Drosophila melanogaster: one gene and its partner. The protein of the gene in region 1 binds, or shares a complex with, the protein of each later gene. Each region holds a gene or a part of one and is shown on either strand. Other genes may lie near its edges.

The links.
Region 2: the proteins of eIF4G1 (region 1) and eIF4E1 are in contact, whole or in part, in a crystal structure (PDB 5T48), measured with the Drosophila melanogaster proteins. Residues at the interface, in NP_001137857.1 of Drosophila melanogaster: Tyr605, Trp610, Pro612, Lys619, Gln620, Tyr621, Arg623, Leu626, Leu627, Leu629, Arg630; in NP_001261626.1 of Drosophila melanogaster: Lys80, His81, Pro82, Leu83, Met84, Val113, Trp117, Tyr120, Asn121, Leu174, Asp175, Leu178, Ile181, Gly182, Glu183, Ala184.

What each region holds. Positions count from the first base shown.
Region 1 is NC_004353.4:919,780-936,527, reverse strand, and holds the start of eIF4G1 (eukaryotic translation initiation factor 4G1), read left to right. Parts: upstream 1-5,812; 5' UTR 5,813-6,016; exon of another isoform or gene 6,017-6,246; intron 6,247-6,396; 5' UTR 6,397-6,448; intron 6,449-6,504; 5' UTR 6,505-6,628; coding exon 6,629-6,706; intron 6,707-8,376; coding exon 8,377-9,135; intron 9,136-9,866; coding exon 9,867-10,517; intron 10,518-10,579; coding exon 10,580-10,760; intron 10,761-10,841; coding exon 10,842-10,953; intron 10,954-11,389; coding exon 11,390-11,445; intron 11,446-15,328; coding exon 15,329-16,748.
Region 2 is NT_037436.4:9,392,209-9,409,231, forward strand, and holds eIF4E1 (eukaryotic translation initiation factor 4E1), read right to left. Parts: upstream 10,253-17,023; 5' UTR 10,096-10,252; coding exon of another isoform or gene 10,072-10,095; exon of another isoform or gene 9,709-10,071; intron 9,598-9,708; exon of another isoform or gene 9,449-9,597; intron 9,399-9,448; 5' UTR 8,889-9,398; coding exon 8,832-8,888; intron 8,746-8,831; coding exon 8,375-8,745; intron 8,311-8,374; coding exon 8,211-8,310; intron 7,977-8,210; coding exon 7,889-7,976; intron 7,826-7,888; coding exon 7,662-7,825; 3' UTR 7,410-7,661; downstream 1-7,409. Other genes in the region: CG4080 (uncharacterized protein), read right to left, coding at 6,299-6,378; Cpr67B (cuticular protein 67B), read left to right, coding at 12,681-12,713, 13,082-13,831; CG4022 (uncharacterized protein), read right to left, coding at 16,005-16,983. UniProt on the Drosophila melanogaster protein: Recognizes and binds the 7-methylguanosine (m7G)-containing mRNA cap during an early step in the initiation of protein synthesis and facilitates ribosome binding by inducing the unwinding of the mRNAs secondary structures.

The DNA of each region.
Region 1 (16,748 bases):
TTTTCACTATACTCATTGTGTTCGTTTTACACGGGCACACTAATGGACTTTTCCTAGGGATGTTGCAATAAGCACAACAGTTTTTTCTGGAGCTCGAATTTCAGTAAAAATGTTGTAGCTCTAAATTCGTCAAATAGAAATGTACTTTTCCACATCTTGTTTTTTTACTTAGTTCGATTTACTAAAATTAACAAATAATTAAAACAATTAAATTTGCGTCATCTTTGCGGCGTTTAATCATCTGTATTTGCCTTATGTATATATACTATACTATACATATGTATATATACTTGTATATAGATACATACATATTTATATATTATATTATTGATAATAACTACAGAAATTTGAACTATCGATATATTCCAGATCTTAAATTAAGAAAGTTATATACCATCCTCAAAATATAAAACAATTATCCAGATGAGGTACGTCAGCACATACATATAGGAAAACACATTCTCTTTTAAGAAAATTAACATATTTATATACTCGATAACGTAGGTGATAAGTGTATACTAGATATGTTGAAAGGTATGTAACAGGTGGGGAAAAAAATTTCGACCATATTATGTATTTATACTTATATAGCCGAGTCAAATAAAACGCCCATGCCCACTTTAAAGCCCACTGATGTAATATTGTTCATTGTATGTCTTGTTCAATTTGGCAAAAAATTTGTTCACGCGCCCATTCCGTCCACACAATTGAGACATGTTTCTAATTATCTGAAAAAATTTTATGTTTTCCAAATTTATATCGGTGTACCAATTAGATGTTGGCCACGCCCCTCTAGCACCCACAAGCCTGCCAAACCTGTAATGCTTATTACATAAATATTAAACTAATAAGAAATGCATAAATTTTTTAAGTTTTTAGCAAGGACCTTTACAGTCTAGGCAAAGACACTAGAATAACAAGATGCGTAACGGCCATACATTGGTTTGGCACTATGCAGCCACTTTTTTGGTGACGGCCAAAATTACTCTCTTTCCGCTCACTCCCGCGGAGTTTGCTTGCTTGTGTGAGTAAAAACAAGAGACGAGAACGCGTATATGTGTGCGCGTTGTGCTAGAAGACGATTTTCGGACCGAAATCAATTCTGATCGAAGAAACGAATTTACATTGTACATATTAGGGTAGTTTTTGCCAATTTCGTAGCAATATGATAAAATAAAAATTTTTTTAAAAATTCGCGTCCTGACTATTATAATTTTAAAGTTTTTAAATTTGTTTGTTAAAATTTGTTACGTTTAATTCTAATTTGTCTCTCATCTGACAATTTTTTAAAAGCGAAATATTTTTTTTGAAACACTTTTAATGCTAATGTTACATCACTTTAAGTCAAATGACTTAATAAATATACTAATTAATTAAAGGAAGTACAATAGAAATTATTAAAACTACTGTAATTTCATAAATTTCATATTATTATAGTGTCTTTGCTTTGCACGAAGTGCGGACACAAGCACTCAACCATCATTGCCTTATTAATTTTTCACACGCCGCAAGATGAATACTCTAATGACAAATATTCTTATATAAAGTCATTTTTGAAATTTATTTGTGTGATAATATGTACATAGATTTGGCTATTTCTAATCTATTTTCAAATAATAATAACGTTTAGGCAATGCAAAACAAGAATTTTTCGCATGGTGCCAATTGATCAAAAATATTATAGATTTAAAGTCAAAGAATTTTGAAGGTGAAGGGCATATTTTGTCAAATTTACAATGCATGAGCACACGTGTGCACACATACAGTTGTCTGCTATCACTTTATGTGTAGAAAAGAGCTGTTCGCTGTAGCGCTCTCAGCTCTCTCGCTCTCTAACAAAAATTCGAGAGAGCCTGGAGCCACCTCTAGAGCCACGGCGAAAAAATAGTGTGCCAAAAAATCGTATGGCGTTACGCATCTTGTTATTCTAGTGTCTTTGGTCTAGGGTATGTCTTTCGTGCCTGAAGACCTACGGAATATATACATATAACATATCGTCTATAGCTTTCAAAGCGAACGGGTTTTTTTTGCGTTTTTTTTTTGTGTTTGTCAAACCAGCCGTGGTTTTTAATAATCTTTTTTAAATATCATATATTTGAAACATAATTATTAAAGATCCGTTCGCTTCGCGAGTGATTCTTTGTGATTTGTGCAGTAGGTTAAACAAATATACAAAGTATTTTGCATTTTTCGTCTTGGTGTTTTGTTTACTCTCCCTGTTGTGCGTTGTTCGCAGTGCTGTTTGGTGTTGTTTTTTGCATGAACAGGAACTGTACTTTTCGCTTTCACTCTCTCGCTCTTTCGCACACAAAATCTAAATTTCTCAGCGTGCAGACTGCTCTCGTGCGGTTCTTTTAACAGCTCGCTTGAAAGTTTTGATCTTGTGTTTTCGTGCAGAGTGGTCTGATTTTAGATAAATATGGAAACCGTAAATGTTGTCTGCTTTTATAAAATTTGTTGGCAGGTTACAAAACCTGAGCAGCCAAAAATGACTTGTTGGCTATGTGATCGAATGGTGCATACTAACTGCGCTGGTTTTAATGGCCGTACAAGTGATGACCTAGCAAAGGGTAAAAATCTAAATTACTGTTGTGATGCTTGCCTTGTGGTTGCGAACGAGATGAAATCGTTTATGCGCCAAACTAAAGGTGGCTTGAAAGAACTGATCAACTGTTTTGGCATAGCTAGAGATAGTTTTCGTCGAGCCGATGATCTTCTTTCCGCACTTAATTCACAGTCTAATGGCCTTAAGCTATTAGATGAATCTCCAAAGCGCAAAAAAGCCGCTGGTGGTAGGCTTCCTAAGGCCCCGCAACCACGGGCAAATGATCAACAGGACTCCACAACTGATTAGCTGTCAATCGCAGCAAATCCGCATATGTTGCTAAGATCGGCAGCTAAAAAAGATTCGAGGTTTCCCTGTTGATCTTCTAAATTGGATTTCAAGCAGAAATCCAATTTAGATCCTGAATGGCAGTACGCAACAAGTCCTCTTTAAAAATACTTTATCTTGTATTCTCCGAGTCACATCCGGTGTCCCACAAAGGAGCCATCTTGGCCCGCTTCTTTTTACCTTATTCATTAACGACCTTTTCTTAATAATAAAACATTCGCGTGTACCTATGTACGCAGTCGATGGTAAATTATGCCTTCAGCACAAGGACACTTCGTGCCATTTGGACTTACAATCCGATCTAGACAGATTTCGAATATGGTGCCGTGATAACGTATTAGACTTAAATGGCTCCAAGTGTAACGTTATGACTTACGCTCTAAGTGGGCACCCACCCAAAGAGCACTCTTTGGAGAGAATAACACGGGTTGATGATCTTGGTGGTCTTCTGGACCCTAAACTAAAATTTTCTGACCATATTTCGTCTATTGTCAATAAGGCCAGGGGTGTGCATGGTTTTATAAAAAGGTGGTCTAAGGAATTTGATGATCCTTAATTGACTAAAACCTTATTTATTTCGTTAGTCCGTCCGATTCTCGAGTACGGATCACTATCACCTGTTTGGAGTCCACAATACGCAGTCCACTCGGACCGCATTGAATCGGTCCAAAAAAACTTATTACGTTTTGCTTGCGGCGCCTAAAGTGGGATGCAAACCGTATATTACCTCCTTATTCCAGTACACTACGTTAATTTAATTTACCGTCCCTAGCTAACCGTAGAACCAAAGACACTAGAATAACAAGATGCGTAACGCCATACGATTTTTTGGCACACGATTTTTTCGCCGTGGCTCTAGAGGTGGCTCCAGGCTCTCTCGAATTTTTGTTAGAGAGCGAGAGAGCGGAGAGTGCTACAGCGAACAGCTCTTTTCATCGCATAAAGTGATAGCAGACAACTGTATGTGTGCACACGTATGCTCGCTCATGCATTGTAAATTTCACAAAATATGCCCTTCACCTTAGAAGTTCTTTGACTTTAAATCTATATTATTTTTGATCAATTGGCACCATGCGAAAAATTCTTGTTTTGCATTGCCTTAACGTTATTATTATATGAAAATAGATTAGAAATAGCCAAATCTATGTACATATTATCACAAAAATAAATTTCAAAAATGACTTTATATAAGAATATTTGTCATTAGAGTATTCATCTTGCGGCGTGTGAAAAATTAATAAGGCAATGATTGTTGAGTGCTTGTGTCCGTACTTCGTGCTTCAAGATATGAACAAAGCAAAGACACTAGAATAATTCTAGTGTCTTTGATATGACTTTTGCAATAAACAGTTATCATATTTAATTATTTACTATATTTATTATGTCATTTGACTTTATATGATGTAACATTAACATTAAAAGTGTTTAAAAAAAAAAATATTTCGCTTTCTTAAAAAATTGTCAGATGAGAGACAAATTAGAATTAAACATAAATATAAATGTGTAAACGGTAGCTAATTCGAGCGGCGATTTTAACAAACAAATTTAAAAAGCTTTAAAATGATAATAGTCAGTTAAAAATTATTTTATTTTATCATATTGCTACGAAATTGGCAAAAACTACCCTAATATGTACAATGTAAATTCGTTTTTTCGATCAGAATTGATTTCGGTCCGAAAATCGTCTTCTAGCACAACACGCACACATATATGCGTTCTCGTCTCTTGTTTTTACTCACACAAGCAAGCAAATTCTATTTTTAGATTTCTTATGCTCTCAGCGGGAGCGAGCGGAAAGAGAGCAATTTTGGCCGTCACTAAAAAATTGGCTGCATAGTGCCAAACCAATGTATGGCCGCTACGCATCTTGTTATTCTAGTGTCTTTGGTAGAACTATGCTTGGAACAGTCTTTATTTGTAAGCTTATTCGTGGGGATGTTAAGAGTTCTGACTTGATTAGTCGGCTTAACTTCTCAGTTCGAAGTAGTTCTCAGTAGTAGTTCTCAGTTCCTTATTTCAGTTCTCAGTTCCTTATTTTAAATCATTGTAGATCTAACTATGAGTTGCGTGACCCTTACAGAGTATTATGTTCTGATTATAATAGACTTTATCCTAATATCTGTAATCTTGACTCTCTGCCGCTCACAAAGCAATTGATTTTACCTTTTTTTATTTTATGATTAGATCCTACTAACAGTAATATTTAATATAGTTATTTTATATTATATTCATTTCCTCGATCCTGTTCTCTTTTTTATATCGCGTCTATCCTCTCGCTAATCGAGGCGTACGATACACGGCAGCGCCCCTCGTTCGGTTGGTCGGGAGGTGTCGCCGTTGGACCCGTGCCAAAAAAAAAAAATATATAATAATAATATAAAATAATTGGGTCTGAATACGGATTATTTTTGTTTTGATTTAAATTCTTTTATTTATCGATATTTTGATGTAATATAGAATCGTTTTTTACCAATTTCTTTATTGTCATATGTATTTTAGTCAGTGTGAAAGGGTCTTATTTTGGCCATAATTAACTAATTATATTTTACGTTCAAGAAACCCTAATTACGATGAAATTAACATTTTGTTTTAAAGTTGCCCATATGTTGTATTCTTAGATATAATGATCTATTTAGCCATGTTGCGGAAAGGGCTCATTATCAGGAATTGAACGCTGGCATAGCATGTACAATCATTATTATAATTTTGGCAAACCTCAATAGAATAAACGTATTATGAAGTAGTTTTAGTAAATAATTAACATTGAAATATGATTTTTTTTTTATTTTTAAAAACTTATGGTTAGCAAAAAATTAAATTATTAATGATGAAGCGTTTAAAAATGTGACCTAACTATCGTTGATAATGATATTCTTCAGTTATCACTATTTCTTGTGTGCTATCGATGTTTCAAATAATAAATGCAACTCTGTTCGTATGAACAGAACACATTGCATGTGGAAATTATTAAAAAATAGTTTTTGAATGTAAAGATAAAGCTGGAATTACTGCTTCATTTTTATAAATAAATACATTTTTAAAATACACTTAAAGTGGAATTCTTAACATTTGTATTTTTTGTACATAATCACGTCGGATAGGCACATACAAACATTTGCTCAGGTAAATTGATGGTTAATAATGAGCACTGGGCAACAAATATTACATGATACTTTGCAAGTTTACTGTGCACAGTGAAGGGAAAAAAGATTTTACCACTAACATTCTGAAATGTGTCTTAACTTTTTAAAAATGATGTAAACGATGGAATTCGTGGCACGTTTTCACCATATGCACCATTGTGATTGTGAGAACGAAATCTCCAAAGTCACAACGGCAACGTCGGCAAATAAGTAAGGCTCCAGGATGGATTGGCAAATGTTTAATAGAAATTATCTCTGGGCTTCAGCTCTAGACTTAATAAATTACAAAATGTCTACTTTATATTTTTGAAACATTTGGGTGAAATCTTTTGTGATATTTAATGATTTTATACGTGTCAGTTCTTTTAATTTCAGAGACCTCTCTGGTAGCTGTATATCAATATATTTCCAGGTAAAATATGCAGAACTGAAACGTGGACAATTAATATTCATTAATATTCATTAAAGAATCAAATGATTGAATGACGTCGTATTTGTGGGTCCAAAATCACCACAGAAATCGTCTATGAAACGGTAAATCTAACCGTTTGGCGATTTCCTACAGAGCTAACTCTAGGAATACACATACGTAATGCAACAGGCTATACCAACTTTACCAACACAATCAGATATAGATAAAGCCATGCAGCCCCATTCAGCACAAAATATGGTAAGTCGATATAAAAATAACATCTCCAAAATTATTTACATATATACATTTTGACATTATTTGCTGTATTACTTTCCTTGCAATTGTTTTAAATTAGTTCGTTAAATAAATATGTTTTCCTAGTTCCGAAAAGAGCTAAAACCTATTTTTTATAAGTTTGCCTGCTGTAGTCAATGTAAACAATCTATTAAGATAGTATCACACTTCTCGTACAATAACAGCAAAGTTTAAAAAGAAAATGCTATTTTTGTGGAATTTTTTTATATGTTTGTTTTATAAATATTGCGGTTTGTATAAAAGGTATATAATTCAATTAAAAAATTTATAAAATATATGTTTGCGATTACAATTATTTAAGTTACTTACTAAATGAATTAAAAAATTAAAAATTTTTTTAACGAACTTGATTGAATACTAATAATTGTTCTAGTCCTGTAAAGCTACATAATTCATAAATGAAGCTCTTCCGGGCATGGTATGAAGTACTTTATTTAAAACCTAAACTATAAAAAACCGCGTTTTTCCAAACATACATAAATCATATAGTTTTTATCGGTAAAAATATTAATTAAAAAAATTTTTATTTCAACGGTGGCTCCAAAAATGGATGCTGAATCTGGTTTGTTGGTAACTGGCAGACACTCAGCAACGTAATTTTAAAGCTAAACTCAAAACGCATTGTGATTAATCTATCCAAGGGAAAAAAAATATTCGAAATGTATTTTATTATATTGATTTAAAGGATTAATGATTTCACATATCCAAGTCACAGAATCAGTCCATATATAATAGTCCCTAATATAATAGTTTCGTTGTTTTTATTCATAAAATGTCAACTTGATATTGTATTTTATAGTGATGTCCTTTTGAAGGGCTTAATGATATAAGGCATATATTTAAATCGCAGTAAAAGAGATATTTGGGACCATATAAATTATATATATATTCTTTATCAGTATCAGCAGCCGAGTAAAATAAATATAAAATAGTCCAGAAGATAATAGCTTCATACTTTTTATTTCTGAATGACAACTTGATATACACCGTTTTTTGACCGCGTATAACTTTGGTTTTAAGGCTAATTGTCAACATGCCGGCGACGACTAAGGAGCAACAGTCGGAAAATTAAATGAAGCTATAACAAAATAAATAATAGTTTAATTGTTTTTAATCATTTAGTGTTCTTATTTTGTACGCACAACTTTTTTTTTATTAATTAATTAATCTTGTAATCTATCATTTGAACTGTGTTAGACAGCTAAATCCCATAAACATTATTTGTCCATAGGGGACGTAGGACAAAAACTCTAAACCCTAATAAAATTATCAAACCCAATGCATGTTTTATATATATTTGTTAATTCTGGATTTATTTATCACAAAATTTGAGGCTGAAAAGTATTAAAAAATCTGCATAAGTATAATATTCAAATTTCACAGTGCAGAAGTGTAATACTACTCAAAATTCCGATTCTTGATTTCTCAGTTTCATTTTATTTTTAAATGGGTTTGTTTTGGTTTTTTTAATACTTTGTTTAAGTGCAATAAAGTAGGATTAACCAATTATCTAATAGTTTTTATAACTTATATATTCGGCAACATTTTTTTTTAATCATTGTTAAATCAATTTTACAGTCCGAAAATGTTCCCACTCTTGTGATCTGTTGTAGATTTTGCCAGCCAATAAAAAGACCAAAAAGTATGATCAACAGGTGCCAACTTCAAAGCCACAATCTCTTCATCAGCCTCTTCAACCGCAGCATAGCCATCCCACTGCTCAGCCTCAGTTTCAGATAAATAAGGCATACAATGTGGTCTCCATTCTTAAGGCATCAGCGCAGATCGCTCAACAGTCCCCACACTTGACGAATCAGCAGCATCCACCAATCCATCACCCACAGCAAACACAGCAGCATCAACAAAGCTATACAAACGTTGTAAATAGAAGCTTATCTGCGTCTGAACCAGTTAGAGCCCAGTCATCGGTTATCTGTAACGGTTCAAGCATATTGACAGTAAATAGTAGACAACTGAATTCGGGTGATATGAATTCGACTGCCATTTATAACATATCCAGTTACCGAAAATTAACTGGAAGTCTAGATGGAAATGTTTGCTTTCTAAATGTACAGGACATTAAACAAAATGGCAACATCAGTGGGTCAGTAGTATCAAATAAGTCCATCGTCGGAGTCGGAAGTGAAAAAAGTTCTTGTACTGGAGTCAGTATTAACAACCAAATAGTATTGCCTAATGCGCAAATAGGAACATCTATGGGAATAGCTGGAACAACTACAGCAGGCACAAGCTACATGCACGAAAAGAATATCGTTGGCGTTAGCGTCAATTGTGTTAATACTAGTAAAAAGTATGATTTCAATAACAGTAGTTTGTTATCAAATAATAGTTACCCGGCATCTACAGCAGAGGTAAACCTTGCAAATTCTGTGACTTTAGGAAGAGATTCATTTTAAATAATTCTTAACTTCATTTCACCTCCCTTTTTTTTAATAATTAGTTTTTAAATACTTTAGGTCCCAAAATTTATTAAATATCAATACGATTTTTTATTTAATGAGCAGTTTTTCTTATAATGTGAATATATGTATACTTTTATATTGTACTCACAGTGCCTAATGTAATGTAAAGAAACCAAGAAACCCGCTATAGTCGAGTTCCTTGACTAGCTAGTTGGAGGCGAAAAAAATGGGGAAGAAAAAATATAGAAATACAAATCATTTAAACATTTTGGAAGATTGGGGGCAGCCTTTTGCGCTTTAAGGGCGTTAGGACATGCCGATATAAATTGGCAAGACAAATCACCAAATAACCAACGGATTCTGCTTGCGTGATCTCAACTTTCTGACACAATTCCCAAAATCGTTACGTTCATAAGGCTAGATCGACTCGGCTAGTGAGGCTAATAATATATATATATATATATATATATATATACTCTATAGGGTCTGAAACGCTGCATTCTAACTGCTACTTTTCAAAGAATTTAGTATAACCTTTTCCTCTACTAGTATATATTAAATATTTATTCTGATTATTTAAGTTTTACATTCTTCACTGCATTATCTTTATAATAATAATAATAATAATACAATCCATTTCTTTCTCTTACTGATTATTAAATTCTTTTAAATACTTTCAGTATGTATCAACGGGAAACAACAATTCTGGGAATACCCGTTCTAATCCACAAAGTGGCGGAATATTTCGAGGACCACCCTCGACGCCTAATGCCCCTAGAGGTGCTAGTGGCGGAGCAACACGGCATGTCCATGTGCAACCCATGTACTCACAACCCCTTCACCAGAACATGGTGCTACAACAATACACACAATATAACCCACGGCAACAAACATTTCCAGCTTCTCATTTGCAATACGCACCCGCCCCCATGCCATACTACCAGTACCAATATGTCCCAACTCTTCAGCAACAGCCGCCGCATACTCGTAGTGCTGTCACGGTAAATACGAACGTCAATGTGGGAAACAATTTGCAGCCAGTGCAGTCTGGACCCAATGGACCTCTCCCTGTTCCGGGGGCTAGCTCGTCGCAAATTCAATTGCTCACAAGCACAGTGCAGCCAGGAGCCAGCACTGTAATGGGCGTTGGCGGTCCTGGTAGTACAATGGGGCAAGTGGGTGTGCCACCAATGGTTGGGGTTGGTGTAATGACAACAAGTGTGCAACCGCAACCTGTGCAGGTGCAGCCTGCTAGCCGGCGCCGGCATCAGCATCGATTGCAGATAATCGATCCGACGACTAAAAAAAATATTTTAGACGATTTTGATAAGGCAAGTAATACATGCACTTTATATTTCGAGTCATTTAATATTTTTATTTCTATCTTTTAAAGACAAAATCAAACACAGACAATGAATTTTCCGATCAGGTAACCTCCACAAACACACCAGCAACTGTCCTTTCAGAAGGTCCAATACGTATTCCACAGCAAGAAAGTGTTGGTTTAAATAATTTGACCAGTACATCATCACAAGGATCAGAATCACGGACAAACGCGCCTTATATCCCCATTGGTAAGTAGTTTGGGAAAACCTTTAAATTTACGTCAAATTTTACATAAGACCGATATGTTTTAATTATTAAATATTTTGCAGAAACAACACCAATAAGTCGAACAGATGTTGGGCCGACTCCAATCGTATCCGCGATGACTGATGCTCCTTCGGTTGAAATATTACCAACGCCCCAAAGAGGGAGAAGCAAAAAGTAAGAAACACATTGTTAAGGAACAGTTTTTTATTCAAAGTAAATTATCGGATATTAATTATGAACTCAGGAAAGCAGATAAAATTTTGTATATTACGTTTCGTTTAAGGTGTTACGAGAAGTTTAAGTCTTTCAGTTGCATTCAAATTAAATATGTTGTGGTTTTCTTTCTTCCGGTTGTCGGTCCGTATGAACGTGGATATATCGGGAAATATAGAGATTGAAAATACAGAATCTGGCGACACGCAGCTAAAGCTGCGTTTATTTGCTAATTAAAAGCGGTCTGATAGAATCCTCCCAAAAGATAATTTCTAGTTCTTTAAAAAGTTGTATTGACGAATTCAAGTATTTAATTAAGGCTAAGTCGCGAACCCCGACTATAGCATGCTGTCTTGTATTGTTAAATAATCCTTTTTAATATTTTTCTTTTCTTTAGAATTCCTATAGTGTCTCCTAAAAATGTATCTGAGTCCATAGTTGCTCCTATCACTGGTAAGTTGTAATATTGTTGTTTTCGTAGTTCATCTTAACATTTAATTTTTAATTTTTTTTATTTGATAGCCGCCAGGCTCTGATTCTGCGCAAATTGTCAAACTCCCAAACCTTTTTAAGTGCTTCGTGTATAACTATTCCTTTTCGCCATCTCAAATATTGTTTATTTCGGACCTTTGACTTGAAAGAAATGAAGTCTCGACTTCAAATTTCGGGTAAATTTCCACCTGGCGAATGCATTTACAGATTGGTAGTTATTTAACGCCCACAAAATGCATAATTTTTTAATATATTTGTCATTAGCATAACGACATTAACGTTATGTCGCTCTAAATAATGAAATAATAACATACACTGAAGAGAAATTTATAAATTTTTCTGGAACATCTATAGAAATTGGGAAAACAAAAAATAAAACAAAAAAAAAAATGTTGCCAACACTTGTGAAACATTTTTGACAGTGACAGTTTGAATGATAAGTTTTTGATTCGCGAACCAGCTCGTCGACATGCTAAATCCGCGGTTTATCATACATTTTTTTTTAATGAACAATGAAAAATAATTATAAATTAAATGAATTGTTTTTGGGCGTAAATTGGGCGTCGACATATTTTTTTGGCATATCGAAAAAAAAATTAAAACCGATTTTCACAGGTGTGGGTGTGACAAAAACGTATCGTCTGCCTCTCTGAAATCAGCATATTATATAAAGCTTTGTTCAATGAAATAGCAGTGCGAGGGAACCTAAGAAATACATATGTATTTTTTCATCTCCCTTTCTGAATCGACTTTTTTATTCCCCTTATTTTTATAAAAGTGAATGTGTAGATAGGAAAAAAGAAATTCCCGTTCATGTTATCCTTTTTTTATTTACATTCTCGAAAAAATTCACAACTTTTAGGCTGTTCAAGTAATAGACCCTAATGAACGCATTAAAAAGAAATACGATGTTCGTTGAAGTCAAATTGAATTTTGTTAATATTTTTAAGTTTTTTAATATATTAAAAAATTGCTCTTTAAAACTGTAAATCATAGGGTTTTTTAATCTTAAACTCGCAGGTCCCAATCCTGTTTGGGGTTTCCCAAAAAGTAAATGCATTTTTAAAAAAATTAAGAATGAACATTAATCAAATATATAATTGCCATTTTGTTCGTTACCCTTTTGCCATCTTCCTGGCAAATGTACGCTCATAGAACTTCTGGCCTCTATCTGCAAAAAACTGAACCAAGTGCGATTTTATAGCCTCATCATTGCCGAAAGTTTTACCATTTAAGGAGTTCTGCACAGATCGAAATAAATGGTAGTCTGATGGTGCACGGTCAGGGCTATATGGTGGATGCATCAAAAGCGAGTTACCAAAGATGTGTGCGGTCTAGCGTTGTCCTTGATGGCTGTATTCAATTTGTCCAATTGTTGACAGAAAACATCCGAATTAATCGTTTGGTTCCTTAGAAGCAGCTCAAAATATACGACACCCTTCCAATCCCACCAAACAGACAGCATAACCTTCTTTTGGTGGATATCAGCCTTTGAAGTGGTTTGAGCTGGTTCACCATCCAGCTCAACCAGCTCAATTTTTCATCTCCAGTTATGATTCGTTTTAAAAACGGATCGAATTCATTGCGTTAAGATGCATATCACAAGCGTTGATTCGGTGTGTTAAATGAATTTCTTTCAATACATGTGGTACCCAAATATCAAGCTTTTTCACCAGTGCAAGACTTTTTATGTGATAATGAACGGTTGATTTTGGTATATTTAACATCTCTCCTATCTCACGCTCAGTTACATGACGATCCAATTCGATTCCATTTGGCCGACATGAACGTGGCTCATCTTTAAGTGAAAAATCTCCAGAACTGAATTTGCGAAACCAATTTTGACACTGTCTTCCTTTTAAGGCTTCATCACCATACACATCTTGTAACTTTTTAGCAACCTCCCCGCGTTTTTTCCTTTACGGAAATAATAAAGTAAACTATGACGAAAATGCTCCTTTGTGGGCTCCATATTAAAATTGACGCCAAACAAACAAATATAAACGAAATTTCGCACACTTTTTCTAAAGCAAGCTAAAAGTAACAGCTGATAACTGACAGAAGATAGAATGCAATTACAAAGTCACAAGCCGTTGAAAAAATTTGTCAACGCCGACTATATGAATATACTTATTGGGCCTGCCTTTTACAATCTTAAAAAAAATTTAATATACCCATAATGTAGGACTCGATGTGTAATTGCGTGACAATTTCAAACCAACTATACGAATTAAAGTAATTTTCCCATAATTCAGAAATTTTGTTTTAGTAAGTGCATTTCCGATTAATGGCATTGTTACTAGTTACGAGTTAATACTGTTAATACTTCACATTTGCCATTGATAATATTTACTCACTTCTAGTGTGTCTTTTGCCTGATGGGCCGTTGTTTCTGTTCGTCTGATCACCTTGGTATTAGTGTTAGTGAGATACGAAATCAGATGTGTCTATCTATAGCGACTAAGGTAATAGAGCGACAGTTGGCCATTAAGACGTTGTGTGCTTATATGAAATTAGTACAAACATTTGTATGAGAGCATACGTCAGAAATATATAAACGAAAAATGTGAATATTTTTCTTTAAATGTTGTTTTATAAATGTAATAAAGTAAATTGTTTATTCAGTGCCGTAGATAGCCGTATTTTTACAAGTATTATTATTATATAAAAGTATACATTATAATCATAACATCATTATCGAACGAATACAACCTTTTCTAAAGTCTTTGGCGCACGCAGCTCTTTACTTTTAGTAAAAATTGTCTTATTATATGCCTTAGCAAAGTAATATCAATAAATAAAAAAAAATGTCCAATAATTATGTTGATGCTTAGCGCCCTTTAAATAACTGATAAAAATGATTAAAAAGATACGGTTATTATAATTCCAAGTAAGTTTCAACTAGTTTCCTCACCTAAGGGTCATTTTCCGATTTTGTTAATAATTATCAACATACCTATATAATTGGGTACATAATTTGTTTAATAGCATGTATTTTTGTATAAATTAAATATAATATAAATGGGATAATCAAAAAAACTATATATCTTTTATATTATTTGGTTAATAGCATATATTTTTTATTGTAAACTAAATTTTATAATCATGCGATATTGACCTCAATTGCTGTGACAGAAATAGCAAAAAAATAAAATTGATTATATGTTTATTTGTATACCCGTTCGTTGAAAAGTATGTAACAGATAGAAGGAAGCGTTTCTTGATCAGGATCAATAGCTGATTCTATCTAGCCATGTCCGTTTGTCCGTATGAATGTCGAGATCTCAGGAACTATAAAAGCTAGAAGGTTGATATTAAGCATACAGATTTTAGAGACATAGACGCAGCGCAAGTTTATTGACCCATGTTGCCACGTCCACAAGACTGCCAAAATATGTTGACATTTTTTTTATATAAAAAAACTTTTTGCCACGCCCACAAACCGCACAAAACTGCCACGCCCACACTTAAAAAATCTCTTGATATTTTTTCATATTTTTATTAGTCTCGTAACTTTCTATTGATTTGCAAAAAAAAAACTTTTTGCCACGCCCACGTCCACACATGAAATTTTTTTAAATTTTTGCTTATTTTATTCCCCAATCGCGTTCGCACATTCACTAGATGAGTAACGGATATCTGATAGTCGGGGAAGTCGACTATACCATTCCCTAGTGTTTATGCTGCTATCCTGCTGATCTTGCTTTGCGGGCCAATCAAAATCATTTCATGCATTTTAGCCTTATAATTTTAATTTAAATAAATAATAATTTATGAGAGATTGAACATGGTTTCTATACTATTAACTATAACTGCTTTTTTAACTACAATTTTATAATTTCAGATGAAACGGATGATGCAGGGTCAACACCGATATCCAGAGCCACTGAAGAATCTATGCCACCTAATCAGACCCATCCAAATTTACTCATATCCGATTCATCAAAACATAAGCAAGCAGTATCAAATAGTGAGATTTCAAAAGACGCTCCTACTGGTTTAAAGGAAATGCATGTTGCTGAGCTGGAGTCCAGTGTAGCCTCCGAAAATCATCCAGCTGGAATACTAGATGTCAATGTCAACAAGAGTTCACAATCATTGGATTTTTCTGCAGATCCCGAAATTGATAGTATTGGCGCAATATCACCTACGAGTCCAAACGCAGTTTCTCCTATTTTACACGAAGTTTTAGATAATACTGAGTTGTCAAAAAAATTAGAGAATTCTACGACAGAAAGATTTAAAGATAGCCAAAGCGTAGAGAAGCCAACTCATCAAGAACTAAGTTTAAGAAATGCCACAGACGAGACTGAAATATCCGCAATGGCATTACAAGATGTGAATAGTTTGGATAATAACCAAATTGAAAAAACATACCCTTCAAAGCCGAAACTCAATGTAGATGTTTCAGAAGACATTTCCTCCAGAGAGTCAGCAATAAAGTCAACTTCTACAAAAAATACAGGAGTAGATGTAGGTCTCCAATCAGATTCTAAGCCAGAGACTACCCTTAACGATAAACAGGACTCTACTGACCTAAAAGTGAAAGTGTCTGCGAAAATTTCATCTATCATAAACTATAATGAGGGTCAATGGTCACCAAACAATCCAAGCGGAAAAAAACAATACGACCGAGAACAGTTATTACAGTTACGCGAGGTTAAGGCCTCACGTATACAACCAGAGGTAAAAAATGTGTCTATTCTTCCTCAACCAAACTTAATGCCATCATTTATTCGAAATAACAATAATAACAAGCGAGTACAATCGATGGTTGGTATTATTGGCAATCGTAGCAATGAATCGGCGGGAAATTATATTGGTAAACAGATGTCGATGTCTGGCGTACAAAGTGGCGGCGGTAGAAGCAGTATGAAGGGCATGATACACGTAAATTTATCATTAAATCAAGATGTAAAGTTAAGTGAAAATGAAAATGCATGGCGCCCTCGGGTCTTAAATAAATCTGATGGTGATAGCGACGCGAAATCTGCACTCGAAAAAGATGAATTGGTACGTCGTGTTCGGGGTATTTTAAATAAGCTTACCCCAGAAAGGTTTGACACACTTGTTGAGGAGATTATAAAATTGAAAATTGATACACCCGACAAAGTGGACGAAGTAATTGTGTTGGTATTTGAAAAGGCCATTGATGAGCCAAACTTTTCTGTGTCTTACGCCAGACTATGTCAACGACTTGCTGCGGAAGTGAAGGTAATAGACGAGCGCATGGAAAGCGAAACCAAATCTAACTCGGCACACTT
Region 2 (17,023 bases), on another chromosome or scaffold:
TGTGATGATGAAGTACATTATCTGAAATCGCCATTTCTAAAATATTTTCAAAAAATGATTCGTATTACTGTTAAGCAATTATAAGCACAGATGAAACACACATTTTTCCTGATAATTTTATAACTTTAAATGTATCAGATTTTTCGTTTGAAAAGAGCATCAACCCAATGACTAATTTCCACTTATTTCGCCACAGTGTGGGATGGCTTCCCATCATCAAAACACCCTTCGCCGCTGCCCCCTGCCAATCTGCACTATCCCAAGTACTTTTCTTCCCTGTTCGTCCGTCTGTATCTGTAGTTTTTAGAGTTCAGTTCAGGCAGAGCTCACACAGTTCATTTACGAAAAAAACATCGACGTAATGCTACTATCAGAAACGCACCTCACAAACAAAAACAATTTTCATATACCAGGATACTTGTTCTATGGTACAAATCATCCAGATGGTAAAGCTCATGGAGGCACTGGAATACTCATCAGAAATCGCATAAAACACCACCACTTAAACAATTTTGACAAAAACTACTTACAATCTACGTCCATAGCCTTACAACTCAACAATGGTTCAACGACTCTAGCCGCAGTCTACTGCCCACCGCGCTTTCCAATCTCTGAGGATCAATTCATGGAATTCTTTAACACACTAGGTGACAGGTTCATCGCAGCGGGTGACTATAACGCCAAGCACACCCATTGGGGATCTCGACTTGTGTCGCCAAAGGGTAAGCAATTGTACAATGCGCTTACGAAGCCAGAAAACAAGCTAGACTATGTATCCCCGGGTAAGCCTACATACTGGCCAGCAGACCCAAGAAAAATCCCAGACCTGATCGATTTTGCAATTACTAAACATGTCCCCCGCAACATGGTCACCGCCGAAGCACTAGCAGACTTATCATCAGATCACTCACCTGTTTTTCTAAATATGCTAACTCGCCCCCACATCGTCGACCCACCGTATAGACTCACAAATTTTAGAACAAACTGGCCAAGGTATCAAAAGTATGTCTGTTCACACATAGAACTAACGACGGCATTATCTACAAAGGAGGATATAGACAAGTCAACGGAAACTCTTGAAAACATTTTAGTTTCGGCTGCAAAGGCTTCAACCCCGCCAGTGACGTATGCAAAACCAAACTACATCAAAACTAATCGCGAAATCGAGCGGCTGGTATTAGATAAACGACGCCTACGAAGGGATTGGCAGTCTAATAGATCACCAATTACTAAGCACATGCTTAAGATAGCCACACGCAGGCTTACCAATGCTCTCAAACAAGAGGAAAAAAACAGCCAACGTTCATATATCGAGCAACTCTCTCCCACCAGCACTAAGTACCCTCTTTGGAGAGCTCACAGAAACCTAAAGACTCCAATAGCGCCAATTATGCCACTACGAAGTCCCTCTGGCACCTGGTTTCGAAGTGATGAAGAAAGAGCCAGTGCTTTCGCTGACCATTTACAAAATGTATTCCGACCAAATCCCTCTACCAACACATTTATTCTCCCTCCTTTAATAGCAGCCAATCTAGATCCTCAAGAACCCTTTGAATTCCGACCATGTGAACTAGCAAAGGTTATCAAAGAGCAACTGAACCCAAGAAAATCGCCTGGCTACGACCTAATAACTCCAAGAATGCTCATTGAACTCCCAAAGTGTGCTATTCTTCACATCTGCCTGTTGTTCAACGCAATCGCCAAGCTTGGATACTTCCCTCAAAAATGGAAAAAGTCGACCATAGTAATGATTCCAAAGCCAGGAAAAGATAAAACGCAGCCATCATCATATAGACCGATAAGCTTACTAACATGTCTTTCAAAGCTGTTTGAAAAAATGCTACTCCTTCGGATTAGCCCTCATCTTAGAATAAACAACACACTTCCAACACATCAATTTGGCTTTAGAGAAAAACATGGAACCATCGAACAGGTCAACCGAATCACGTCAGAAATTCGTACTGCTTTTGAACATCGAGAATACTGCACAGCCATTTTTCTAGACGTCGCGCAGGCATTTGACAGAGTGTGGCTCGATGGACTTTTGTTTAAAATAATCAAGCTGTTGCCCCAAAACACACATAAGCTACTGAAGTCATACCTATATAACAGAGTGTTTGCAATAAGATGCGATACAAGCACTTCACGCGATTGCGCAATCGAAGCTGGAGTGCCGCAAGGCAGTGTACTGGGTCCAATCTTATACACCCTGTATACGGCGGATTTCCCCATAGACTACAATCTAACAACCTCCACGTTCGCTGATGATACCGCGATACTCAGTCGCTCGAAATGCCCAATAAAAGCCACGGCACTCCTATCCCGACACTTAACATCTGTAGAACGATGGCTTGCCGACTGGAGAATTTCAATAAATGTTCAAAAATGCAAGCAGGTTACCTTTACCTTAAACAAACAAACATGCCCACCACTGGTCTTGAATAACATATGCATTCCACAAGCCGACGAGGTAACATATCTGGGAGTTCATCTGGACAGGCGGCTCACTTGGCGCAAACATATAGAAGCCAAATCGAAACATCTTAAACTTAAAGCAAGGAACCTCCACTGGCTCATAAATGCTCGCTCTCCACTTAGTCTGGAGTTCAAAGCTCTTCTATACAACTCCGTCTTAAAACCTATCTGGACTTATGGCTCCGAGCTGTGGGGCAACGCATCCAGAAGTAACATAGACATTATTCAGCGAGCACAGTCAAGAATTCTGAGAATTATCACTGGAGCGCCGTGGTACCTTCGGAACGAAAACATACACAGAGACCTAAAAATCAAATTAGTAATCGAAGTAATAGCTGAGAAAAAAACGAAGTATAACGAAAAGCTGACCACCCATACAAATCCCCTCGCAAGAAAACTAATCCGAGTATGCAGTCAAAGCCGGCTGCACCGCAACGACCTCCCAGCCCAGCAATAAACTTATTAGGGCATTAATGAAAAAAAAAAACTATCACTAAGTGAAAGTTAATTAAGTTAGATTAAGATTTGAACACTTATTGTTAGTCTCTTAACACAAAGGGAAGATTCAATAAATAATAAAAATTAAAAAAAAAAAAAAAAAAAAAAGTTCAGGCAGTCAGTGCGTGATTGAGGCGCAGGACAGGAAAGGACAGGACAGAACGGGACAGGACATAAGCGGACAGTCGAAGGCTCTGCCAGCACATTTGTTGTGGCTGTCGGCATGGTCATGGACATGTAGGCACTGGACACGTCCTCTTTGCTCTTGCCCCGCTTATTTTGCTTTTTTTCTTTTTTTTTTTTTTGGGGCCAATTGACGACTGGCCTTGGATCGATGAAGCACAGGGCACGTTTGTGGGCTACACCGCAGAGAGCGGTTCATAAAATACACGGCCGCAAGTACACATGTTTGTCTATCCAAAAAAAAAAAAAAAGGATGGCCGACCATTATCCTTTCTCGGCTGCTCTGGCAAGTTAAGGACATGCGTAAGTCGCAAGTTTTACGACTTCATTAGACGGCAGACAGTCGCCGGCTGGCCATTTCCACACCTCTTGCATCTTGGAACCACTCAACCGAAACAGCCTCATGACTTGGCGTTTATGGGCTTTTTGGTAACGCAAATTGCCTGTTCGACATTGAAAATAACAAATTTTGAACTCAATTAGAACGGAAATGTCACTTTTGAGTGCATAAATAAGCAACATGTAAATTCCTGTCGATCACAAAAGCAAAAGAGCAGCTAGCTCTCGTTAAGATTTCTCACACTTTTATTGATCGGATCGGCACATTTTCATTCCGTTTTGCTTTTTTGCCCTCCACAATTTGATTAGGCGATATCAAAAGGGTATATACAAGGGTATAAGTATGTATATATATAACACACACAACGGTATCGCTATCGCATTACCAGGTGAATGAGAGAGCGACGGGCAGGTGCTTTATTTCAGCGAAACTAAAAATAAAAACCTTTTCGCCCTCGGGTTTTGGGTTTCAAGTGCAAGCTGCATCATCGCGCTTTTTGTTTGTTTAACGGCACTTTTTGTTGCTGCCACTGCGAAAGTGCTTCCGATGGAAATTTGCGAATTCCCCGGAATCGTGTACTTTTCGGTAACCAAATATTTACGTTCGTTAATCTAATTTGAACTTATATTCGTTTCTTATCGCCGTTTTTTTTTCTTGAGAAATAAACGGCTCAACTATCGTTATGAATGTTGTTTATAATTAGCTGATAAAAGAGGGGAAAATTTGTTTATCAACAGAGAGTCGAATATGAATGTATGTACTATGAAAGCGGAACTGTTTTCAAACTGAAAGCCAAGATTAATATTACAAAATTATACTTTGGCTCAACACTTACTGAAAATGAGTAAGAATATAATTGTTGATTTCTCTGGATCTGATAACTAAGTTTATATAGCATATTACCCTTAAATCGCCTAATTATGCGAGGGTCGTTTGGTAAATTCACATTACGGGGGCATTTCGTGTTATTTGCGTAAGATTTGGGTCTTTTGAGCGCTTCATTACCACCCGTGCCCACTTGTAATTACGACTAAATTAGCGCATTTTATTAAATTCCACGCCCGAACACAACGGAACGGGCCACGCCCTCACCAGCTCCGCCGGACCAGATGAAACAAGTAATCTTCGCATGGCGCAAGGAACCGGATGATTCCAAGGGATGGATGGGTGGTGGAGGGGGGAAGGGGGAAATCGGAGTCAGGCGGGGTCCAATTCAACTGTTTTGCGCTTTGTTTTCGCTGCCTGTTCGTTTGCTTTGTTCGAATGCTTTTTGATAATTTGCGCATTATTTTTTTTTTTTTTTTAGCGCTCTCTGCGTGTAAAACTTATTTTAAAGTCCAAAACCCAACTGGTTTAAGTTCGAGGCAATTAATGCAAAAGTTATACCCCCCCAACTGGCGCCACCAAAAATATACATTTGCATACATATGCAATGTATGAATGTTTGTGTGTGTATACACATTGCTATTGTTTTGGGAAAACCCATGCGAAATGCAAGCTTGAGAAAATTCGCTTCTTATCAATGGTTTGTTTTTCGCTACGCTCCATTTTACATTTTCACGATAGTCGACAAATATTTGATCGTGATGGCCCAAGCCGATACAATAGCCAATGTTTATTCAACAACGACACCTGAAATAACAGCAAAGTGAGACACATTTACTCACTCCGGCGACAGATTAGATTTGCGATGGCCAGGTGATAAGGCTCATCACACTGACATCGGGGGTGTTGAACGGTCTGTATTTCACAAAATACGAGCATACATATATAAATTATAGCTACGCAAGAGCCGCATTTCTCAACATTCAAATACAATTGAGTAAATATGTTTATTTAAGAGCGTTCCATTGAAAATTTGATGAATAACTAAAGATAAAGATACAACATCTATGAGGCAAATAAAAGTTGGTAGCCACAAATACTAATACCAAACAATACGAATTAAGTGAATCGAAAAGCCAGTACCATTAAACTGCTTTAGTTATGGAGAACGTCTTCAATGACTGATATATAATTATATTTATGATTTATCTTCATTTTAGACCTCATTGGCTTCATTAAAAGTCGTAAGAGTATTGGGTATGGTCAATGCCCCGCTGTCACGTCAGATTGCAATATAAATAAATCGCGCGTAATTTATAAACCTATAATTGTATAAACAGATAACAGCTGGCGCCTCGCGTCAAGATCTTGTCACCTTCCCAGCATCGTAGTGTCCATATTTGCATTTCAATCGAAGTTGCCGATCGGCATGGAACTAGTATGGTAAGTAAGTAAGTACAAGTCAATGTTGTTAACTATTGCCTAATGATTGTCATTAGCAGGCGTTAGATGGGGATTACGACGATTGAGATCTCAACAGTTGATGTTGGTGCAGAGCAACAAATTAAGGGAATGAATCAATCGCTGCTTGAAATTGGGTTATTTTCGTTTTCATTTCGATTAAGGTATATCTTATCTGCGTGTCGGTATGGACAGCTGGATTTGTTTATTGTGGCGCAAAGAACACACATTGATTTTTAGCACTTGCAGCCTGCGTTGAGAACTTAATTATTGTGATTTCCCAAACGACGAACAATCAAACATTTAAATCATGTCCGTTTCCTGGCTATAAATAAACAATGGACAATGCCAAGAAGAATGTCAACCATCCCACGATTTTTCAATTGCGTGCTTGCACTTGATTTTATTTTATTTCTCGTTTTTCTTTATTTTACTTTTTTTTTTGTTCTTTGGTGTACTTGAATAACTTATAGGATTCCTTTTTTTTTGGCCATATCAAGGGCATTCAAAACTCACCTGACATTCGCATAGTGCTGGCCGGAATTCCAATCCACATGCTCGATATCCGAAGAGGTTTTGGCGTTGTCGCAAGGCATTTTGTTCGTAACTCGCTCTCTCTCTCTCTCTCTATAGCACTATAAACTCGATTGCAGGGTATCGCATAGTCGGGGCGATGCTGCACCGCAACGCGTGGGGGGTTTTCAACCCCAAAAAGGGAGGGGGGTGGCGGACGCGGGGGAGGAGAGCTCCTTTGTCTTTTATGCTGGCTAGTCTTGCGCCTTTGTTATGATTCTCCTCCGCTGGCCATATATTTGTTTATTCCCAACGATAAACAGAGGCTGTCGCCTTCTTTATTTTTAGCGACCCTGTTGGCAGGGGCTACTTCGATTTTTTGCACAATGTAAACCGAATCTATTGCACTGTTATTCTCCTTTCATTTCGTTTCATTTTTCCCTTTCAACGCCAACGAACTTCTGGCCGTGTGTGTGTTTGTTTGTGTTGGTTAGCTGGTCTATTATTATATCTTTATTCCGCGACAAACTTTAGTGCGTTTGCTTGTTAATTTGTTGTTACTGGCCCGGTACGAGCTGTTCGTTCCACTACTCTACGCTAAATGGCTATGCTTGTTAGAATTGCACATATATTTTATGTATTTTATTTAGCTAAACACGGAGACATATCCTTACACGATATCTACGAGCGACGCGACCAGTGTGACTGCGCCTACACAATTGAAACATGTCACATGCAGTGTGACCGTTCTTGGCTGAATGGAAAAGCTCTCACTCATATAAAATTCAATAATAGGTTAATAAAAAAAAAATACTGACTTATTTTTTAAATACAAACGTATTTACTCTAACAATATAAGTAAAAAGCTAAAATTATTTTAATGTCTATTTAGGAAACCTATCGATATATCGATACACATTTTTTTTTGGCCACCCTAGAAATTGCTAACGTATTTTTAGCAACAAATTGAATTCCAAATTTGGAAGTTTTGCTTTAGGTGCCCATATTAGGATACAAGCTCGTTTTAGTAATACAACAAGTAATTATCCCAAAAACAATATAGGTTAACTTTTTTCTATTTTAAAATATCTCCAAAATCAAAGATCAAAAGTATCCGGTTTTAATGTAGGTTTTTATTAATATACTTTTCCGTCTAATCCATTATTGACAGTGACTACAAAAAGCGGATAGATTTTATATTATGCCGATTTTTGATAACAAAGGGGGTTCCGTTTCGGTTTCGTTACGCGGGTCTTAGACAATAGTCACGATTAATCGCTACTGTTGCTTATAACGATAAATAAATGAAAGACAAAATAATCAGTGTGGGATCGGACCGAATAAGGAGCGGCCAGTTATTAGCCGCCTACAAAGTGTAGATCGATTTCACGTTGGAGCCCTGCTTGACCATCGTGTCCTTGTGCAACTGATACTGCAGCGAGTTGTTGCGTCCCAGACGCAGGGCATCGCGCAGCTTGTGACCAATCTCAAGGGCAGCTTCCTCGTTGTTTCCGTCGGCAGTCCAGATGGCTGGAAAGCATTAATCGTTAAACAAAGGAATTCCGCTGAAGTTGGGTGTGCGTGAAAACTTACATATCTTGTTGCTCTTGCCGCGAATGTTTATAACAGCGCCGCAGATCTGATCAGAGTGATCGAAGGCCTCACCAATCAGGCAGAGCAGCTGGAAGGCAAAACAGTTGTAGTTACTCATATGCGAAAAATATTTATGATATAAGCTCACTATTGAATGTTCCTAAGACAAAAGCTAGCACTAGCGTATTTTTAGCTGATATTTTCTATAAGTTATAATTTATATTGCAAAATCATACACCTATTTCTATATTTTTGCATTTCAAGAATGTACATTCACTATAAATAGACCATCCGCTCACCACTCGTTTCTTTGTGCACTTACCACATCGAGCCATAGGTTATCCAGATCGGTCTTGGAGCTTTTGTTAAGGGTAATGACCCAACGACCGCCCTGTTTGTTGGCTGCATCCTCCCACATGGGACTGCAAATGAGATATCAGTTAGTAAAGGTTATCTTGGCAGAATTGCAATAAACAGCAAACCCACCGAATGTTCTTCTTGAATAGCGAGTAGTCACTACCCAGCTTGATCTCTGATGGGGGCTTGATGTGGTTGTATAGGCTCCAGAAGTCCTCGACGGTATCGAAGCTGGTGATCTCGTTTTGCATGTCCTCCCAGGACTTGGACCGATCGTTTTCAAGGTACCACAGCGTCCAGACATTCATGAGCGGGTGTTTGTATAAATGCTCGGTGCGCACAGCATCGTCGCCGGCAGGAGCAGTAGTGGTTGCAGTGTTGCCTGCTGGTTCACCAGTCTCCTGTGGGTCCTCCTTGGGCTTGACATCCTTAGCCTCGGCGGGCGCTGCAGCCGAAGTTGGTGGTTCCGGACGACCCTGCTCGGTGCTGGGGGCGCTGGTCTGCGGGAGAAGATGGCAATGGATGGGAAGGGGAATCAGAAGATTAGATTAGCTTGGCTTAGCGACAGGCGCACTGAGAGTATTACTTTGAACATGGACTTGGGATTGGCAAAGTTCTTCATTCTGTGAAAGTCGCTCTGCATGTTGGCGGCCGTGTTTATTGGATGCGTTTGATGGTAGGATCAGTTCTTTTTCGGCTCCGGAGTGGGTTCGGATCGGTTTCGATTCGCCGTGATTCACTTGCCGCTCTCTCTCTGTCGCGGTGTTTGTGATAGTTGATAGTTGGTTGGTGCGTGTGTGTGCGAGAGAGCGAAGCTTTTGATTTCTGTTTGAGTGTGTGTGGATTTTGGATTGTTTCGTGATATCTCGCTCCCCTGCAGTTCGCTCTTCACTTGTGTATTATTAACCAAAAAACTAAGTAATGATAATACAAAAAACTCGTTAAACTTGTTGTTGCTGTATGGTTGAGTGGGTGTTGTAACTAATTATTGAGTATATGGTGTTGGAGTATCCTGTTTCACTTAAAATCGGACTAGGCTACTACTAAAATAGGCGAACTAATGCTGTTCCTAACGAACTCGGAATCGAAAGGGGCGATGGAATTACAGCACACACACACACGCGCACGTATCTGACATAAAAACACAGATTGCCTGTTGAAAGAATTGGAATTGTTGTTTTATATTTGAGTTAAAAGAGTTACTTGATTTTATTTTATGTTGCGGCTAAAATTCGTGTTCGAGTTCAAAGCAGCGGCGCGATTAACTGAAAAAAATTAACGTCAAAGAAAGGAGGTGGAAAGTGAAGAGGGAAAGCCAACGGTTTATTTACTGCAATGGCCGACAAAAATATGATTTAACTGTTCGCGACTGGTTAATTGCAGTAATTCACTCTTTTTCCATTCTTTCCATATTTGTCTCTCCGCTCTCCTATTTATGTATATGTAGCTAAAGAAGAACACACCCACACACACGCGCGCGATGTCTTGACAAGAGAGAGAGAGCGAGAACACTGAAAACGTGTGGTATGCGTATGCAAATGCGAAAGGAGAGAAAAAGAGAACGAGTGACCGCGAAAGAGAGATAGCTTGATAGAGACAGACAGAGATAGCGATAGCTATGACGTAGACAATAGCGTGCAAGTACAATTAATATTAAGCAATTGTGCAAAAAATAATCGGTGAACACAATGATGATGTAGCCACGCCAACTGCACACTTTTCCGCTCGACTATCGCCTCCCCTCTTGTGCAACAACCCTGTTTTTGTTGTTCCTGCCACGGCTCAGCCGAAATCGAAACCATGCGGCTCGCCGTTTCTCGCCTTACCTTCTCCGTCTCCAACACTACCATGATTTCGATGTATCGAAATGTATACTAGATATCGGTTACGCACTCAAGCTGCGTAGGTTACTGGGCTTAATTATTATTCGAATTATTTAATTCTTTAATTAAGTTTGGGATTTTGGTGGCCAGACAGTGTGGCCGTTGCCTAAAGGAAAGTTAGTGACGAGCGACCGAAGGCAGCTATCGATTGTTGAACAGGGCAACTCTGGAAATGCCTGTCACTGACTGATTGTTATAAAACCCAAGCAACCGTTACGTTTTTAAGGTTTCCATATATGTCATCTCTTCTATCTCTTTTCATGCGCGGAATTTACCATTTCACCATTAAAATACTAAAATTGTTAAATGTTTATCGGAGCTAAATATCATACTTTCTATTGTAATATTTGTATTTGAACCGAAATTCATTTTCTGTCATCCAGGTTTAAAATGAAACGATATTAAACAAGTTTATAACCAGTAAGTTACGCCTATTAGGAATCATTGAGGCCATAATAAGCCATTTTAAATAAACGCTTCTTATTGTCAAAAAACAAATAACTTGCTCCCATGGGAACTTTTTCAAGAACTGACCGAGCTTAACTTCCGCATAAAATGGCAAAGCAAATCTTAGAGCTTCAATCAAAGATATAAATGCAAACTTAATTGACATTTCATCTGATTCCCACAGCGCGATCGCCATCAACAACAACGTCATCGTCATTTATCATACACAATTTGTTGATGTTTTGAAGCCAGCAAAAAATAACAATATATTATAAATAATTATCAAAAATGTTTAATACGGACAAGCCCAGAAAACCTGATTTTTGGTTGAAAATTAGGTCTTCGTTTTTATTTAGACACTGGCATCATCAATTGGAATTTAATAACAAAATAACAAACATAAGAATGAATCAATGAGTTTTCCATATAATGCGACTCTATATTGTTTAAGTTTTCTTGAGAATTCCAGAAACTTTCGAGAATATCCAAAAATAAAATAACAAAGTAACGATATTACTTTAGTTAGAACTTGGACGTCATTGGTTAAATTTTGCCACAAAACTAAGTCTAACCTGTTGGTGAATCATGACTAACCCAGAACCTTAGTTGTTACCAAAGCTGCTTCGTATTTGAATCCAACCAAAATTCTTTCCACACATTATTGGCTCGCCTTTGTCTGCTTTAAAAATAGCCAAAAGATCCCAAAACAACATGGGAATATTTATGAGGGATGGATAATATTACCGCTGATGATGTGGCGCTTTTAGAAACGCTTGACTTTCAAAATAGACTGTTGCAGTTGAGACGCAATCCGAAAATTGAAGATGCTTACGAACTTAGCCTGAGAAACGTGAAGCGTGTTTATTATTTAAATAGTTAAGTCATTTTGTAACCGATCAACTGCGCAGTTGCCCTTGTAAATGCCTAATAAGCGGCTTTCAAGAGCTCGGCACGATCGTTGGATCGATGATCCGAAAACCCAAGATCCCTTCCCGAAACCCAAGATCCGTGGTCTCTAATTACACTTGAGCCGGTCTTATTGAACTGACACTTGATCGCCTGTCCAAGTGTTGATGTGATTACCCATCGCATCCTCTATTCCAATCGCATCGCATCTAATTATGCAGCAGTCAATTGCGGACTTCAAGTGCTTGGCGCATGTCTAAACAAAAAAACTTCCGCCGATCTACAGGAAACCCGGAGTCAAAGTTAAACCTTAGGCAGTATACTTTGCATTAATTGGAAGTAAAAAGTAATTGAAGCGCTCAAAGATGCTTAATTGTAAATAAATCATAGTCAAGTGGTTAGGTTATAAAGTTCGATAAATAAGGTTTCGACTAATGGGTACCTTGTAACTTATACAGAACCTGTATAAAAAATTGTACTTTTTCGTACTATTTTCATAAATTATGCAACAAATAAAATTAAGAATTATGAAGAAAAATGGGTATCTAAATGCTAGTTATACCATCAAGATAAGATGATCGAAACCAGATTTCAGACACCCAGTCGCCGAATATGCTTACTGAACCAATGAATTCCGATTGGTCAAAAAAGTATCTTTAAGATACTCGAAACTGACAGCCAACGAGCGCTGAAAATGCCACTTGAATCGTTTCGAAAAGGGTTCTGTGGCAGTCAACAATAGATGGGTAGACCACAAAGCTATTAGATAACTAATTGACCAAACGGCATACATACAATTAATAATGTTTCCATAGGTGTCTCCGCATCACTCCGAAAATATTCATATATCCGTAGTCGAGTGTGAGAAGTGCGAATTTGAGCGACGCCGATAATGAACTTCAAATTGCCGCCACTGGCTTTGCGAATCGAGATTCTAAAGCTGAGTAAGAAACCGGACAGGTGAAGCTCAGACTGCTGCTGGTCAGTGAAACAGTCGGCCAGCCAGCACATCTTCATTCAGATTTATGCAAAACGCAAAACAAAAAACAACAATACCAAGTAGATCTAAAAAGTTAGTATATAAGCAGTGCCTTTTGGTTACTCAGTTATTAGTAGCCCGCCAACTGGAGAATAGCGAATACACGTTGTGATACCTGGATAAACCACACATATAACTCATATTTCAAATCGAATCCACTATGAAGTGCTACATCTTGGCTGCCCTGTTGCTGGTAAATGCAGATAATTTGCATAATTAAGCTGATATTTACGAGCATCTCTGAATAGATCCATCCGATCCATTCAATTAAAGTCCGGGTTGTGGTGACTCTATAAATGTCAAATGTGTCCGGATCGTAAAGTGCAAATACGAAAGTTATACAATGTGCAAAAATTAAGCAAACATCGCGTTACATGTGAGATGAGACTTTAATCACTGATGATGATGATGGTGATATGACATCATACCCCTTCTTTTTGTGATCTCTCGAGAATTGTGTAGCGTGTTAAATTGGCCATAAAGTCTGCTAACCACCCAAGTCACACTTTAATGGTTTGTCTTAATATTTTGCTAATTATTTTTACGCTTAATTCATTTCAGGCCACACTAGCCAGCGGTGAGAACATCTTCAAGATCAACATAACTCCCGAGGAGGCGCAGCAATTCCTTAACAGCGCCCAACTGCGTGGCATTGGCGACATCGAGTATGCCCCGAAAACCGGTGAGAATCCCCTGCCCGAGGCGCGCAACGAGAAGGGAGAGTTCGTCTACATGGGTCGTGTGATCGAGCATCCCGAGGAGTATGTGGAGGAGCACTACGATGCCCATCAGTATCATGGTCAGGATGGTTTGGGTCAATTTGCCTATGGCTATAGGGATTGGAACCAGGGCAAGAACGAGAAGCGCGATGAGACGGGCAAAGTGACCGGATCGTACAAGTATGTCCAACCACATGGCCGTGACTTTGTGGCCAACTATTATGCTGATAAGACCGGTTTCCATGTGGAGGACAATCGTCCGGCACACCTTAAACTGCCGGCCACTAAGACTCCGGCTGTCCTCAAGGCCGAGGAGGAGCACTTCAAGCTGTGGGGTGAGCTGGCCGCCGCCGCTGGCCACAATCCCGATCCTTATGCCGCCGAGTACCAGCAGGAGGGTCGCTACCAGCCCACTGAGCCCGAGTACCAGCCCTACGTGCACGAGGAGCCGCCATATGTGCCCGGACCCGAGGAGACCGGCGAGCCCAAGGGCTTCTTCTACGCCTTCGACTACAATGTCCCCCTGTTGCGCAACAAGGAGGAGCGTGCCGAGCTCGAACGCCTGCGTGCCATCAACAACAAGGATGAGTAAGATTCAGATATTGATCTAGATCCTTATGGATTTGGTGGATCCATCGCATCGCCTTGTATAGGTCGTTCTGTAGAAAGTAGCTAAGACATTTTCACATATTTATTGAAATCCTTCGCAAAATAAATAGCAAACTTTAAATACACTTTTGTCAAATACGATCTTTTATTATTACATACATATACATATAAAAATGTGTGTTTTTCTGTTTTGTTGGCTTTTCATCCGCTAGTGTGTGCTTTTTGTTTGTTGTAGACATTTTTCCGGGCTGCTCCGGAAAACTCTAGATATTTCCAAGGAAACATTATTGCATCTCTCTGAGTTCGTGAGTTTTCCAGATTTCCACCCTTTTGCTGTTACTAGCCACACACGCATTTTTATCATTATAATTTTCTTGTCGTGTCACTCTCTTTTCAAGTAAAATTATTGCTTTTTGCTCTTCGCTTAGAAGACTTGGGTCTTAAACTAATTTAATTTGTAATTGTAGTGTTATGTTTGTTGCTTTTTTGTTGTTGTTGTTGTTGTTGGGTTCGTGCTATAATTTAATACTAATTTTACACGAGCATTTCTCATTTACAACCAGTTAAAAACTAGTATATATACTTTAGGGTTTTCGGTACTCGTTTCAACTCACAATTAAGGAAACTCTGGGCTTAATCTTAATACCAATTGGATGAAATCAATTTTGATTAATTCACATACACGCTTCCTGTATGGCACCTATATAAAAAAATATAATGAACTAAAAACAAAAAGAAAAGTTCTTTTTGTTAGGATTCTCCGCTTACATGCGGTTTTTTCCAGCAAACAAAATTATATTTTATTCGGTATACGTTGTGTGTGTGTTTTCGAGTTCTTCAATTAAATTCTTCGATGTGGAAACAAAATTAGATTTTCGATGGAATCACAATTGAAATTTCGTTTTTTTCTTTTATGGAAATCTGTAGCTAACTTTATATACAAAGTCATTACATGTATATACTTTTCATATGGCAGCTTTGTTCAGTCCGATATTGCAGTTGAAACTATTTGTTTTACCATTTTTCACTGGTGTTTCCCGAATATTTATTCGATTTCTAGTGGTTTTTTACTCTCTATAATATATGATTCGTGAATGGTTTCGTTTGAAGTTGAGGGATTGGGATTGGAATTGGGTTAGCACAAACAATAAACACAGTAAAAGTTAAAAATTCCAACAGTAGTATTACACAATTACAACACAACAAGCACGAACGGAAAATAAATAGAATGAAATGTAGTTTCCCCGTTTCGGTATCCAAAAGGGGAAACTAAAAGTTAAACTTTAAAATATAAATCATAATAGCGACATTGCGGATCTGTATACTGTTTTCGCATTCGGCTATACTAAGGTACATAAGTTAGTCGTGGCACTAAAGAGCCGGCTTTAAAACTCCCTCCGCTGTTTTCACTGCCCCTCAACTTCAAAGCGTGGAGATCAATCGATCCAGGGTTAGGGTTCTTGGATCTGCGAAGTTTCTTAATACTTTTGCACGGATATGGATATGGATATGGATGGATGGATGGATGGATGGATGGATGGATGGATGAATCGATGGGCAAATGCCTGGTGGGTGTATGGTTCACGATGAGATGATGTGACAATTTGGGAATGGAGCTAGTAGTTAGTCTGGTAAGTTCATTTGGCGCATGAGTTTCATTCGACGATTATGTTTTTAAATACATTTATTCTCGTGTTTATCAACTGGTTCTTGCTAGGTTCTTGTCGCTCTCTCGGGCTTGTTGTATATAAGGCAAACTGTATGCGAATCATACATATATTGAACTATGTAAATACGTTTATCATTCTGTCAGTTAAATGCCGGGGAAGATCCTGGGAGAAGCGCTGTCGTCTATAAATGTCTATGAGCTGGAGCATGGCACAACTGTTAGTTCATCTAGTCCTGGTTCTGAGTGGCTATCCAAAAAATTGACCAACGGTGTAAAAACGGGTGTGTGAATGCTTGTATATATATCTGTATATATAAATCTTGTATATGCTACACGACTCTATCCACGACTCTAAGCCCTAAGTGCTGACACAGTGACACTGTTCACTGGTAGAGTGCCGCCTCCTCTGGCTCTCTATCGTCCTAACTTCCCACTTACCTACGAGATTTTATTTATTTTTTTTTTGTGTGTAAATTCAGGATTATCTCTACTTGGCCGCCGCTGCCGCTGCTGTGGCATTGGCCGGCGAAACTTTCAGCTTGATGAACATGCTATTGTCGCCATTGGTGCCGCTGTTCAAGTCCAGCTTCTGCACCTCGCACTCCAGATTGTTGATGCAGTTCTTCTCGTACTGCGTTGTTCCGTTGTCCGAGGCGGCGGCTTTTTCTGTCGGCTGTTCACTGGGCGCCACCTTCTTCTCTTTGCTCTTTTTCAGCGCATTCAGCAGGGTCTTCTCTTTGCTCTTGCCCTCCTTGTGACTATTGTCCTTGTCCTTGTGCTTGTTGTTCTTGAAGCGCGGGAAGATGCAGCCGTTGGGCAGGAAGCCGCCCAGTTTCTCCTTCTTTGCGGGAGCAGCAGGTGGAGGAGTTGCTGTAACGACGGGAGCAACAACGGGAGTTGGAGTTGGACTGGGCGATGATGTGGCTGTGGCTGTTACTGTGGGTGTTGCGTGGCTGGGTGTGGGAGTGCTAGCACCATTTGTGGCTGCCGGTGGTGCAACCTTTACTTCTGGTTCGTTCTCCACTGCCACCGGCTGATTGTCCAGCACAGTTGTTGATCCATTCAGCGAGCTGCCTGCATCCGTTTGATCCACGCAAGCATCCTCCGAAACTGGCGATTGCTCCTGCTGCTCACCCTGCTCGCTGGCCACTTTGTTGTCCAGCTGCTGGGCAAACACGGCCAGGGTGATGCCATTGCCATTGCCATTTCCCTGCTCTACCAGCAGCGGCTCAGACAAGTGAGCCGGCGGCGAGCTGGCCTCGTTCACTGCAGCACCAGCACTAGCTGCCCGCGATGCATCCGGCGATTTGGGAAACATCTGTTGCGTGGTGATGTTCTGGTAGTGCTGCTGCTGGCGCTGCTGCATCATCTGCTCCTCCCTCTCGCGATCGCGCTGCGCCTGAACGGCATTCCAGACATCCTTCAGCTCGCCGGAGATATCGCGATCCTTGAGTATTACGGCGTTTCTGGAGATGTATTACATATATTTTTATTCTTGTTTTTAAT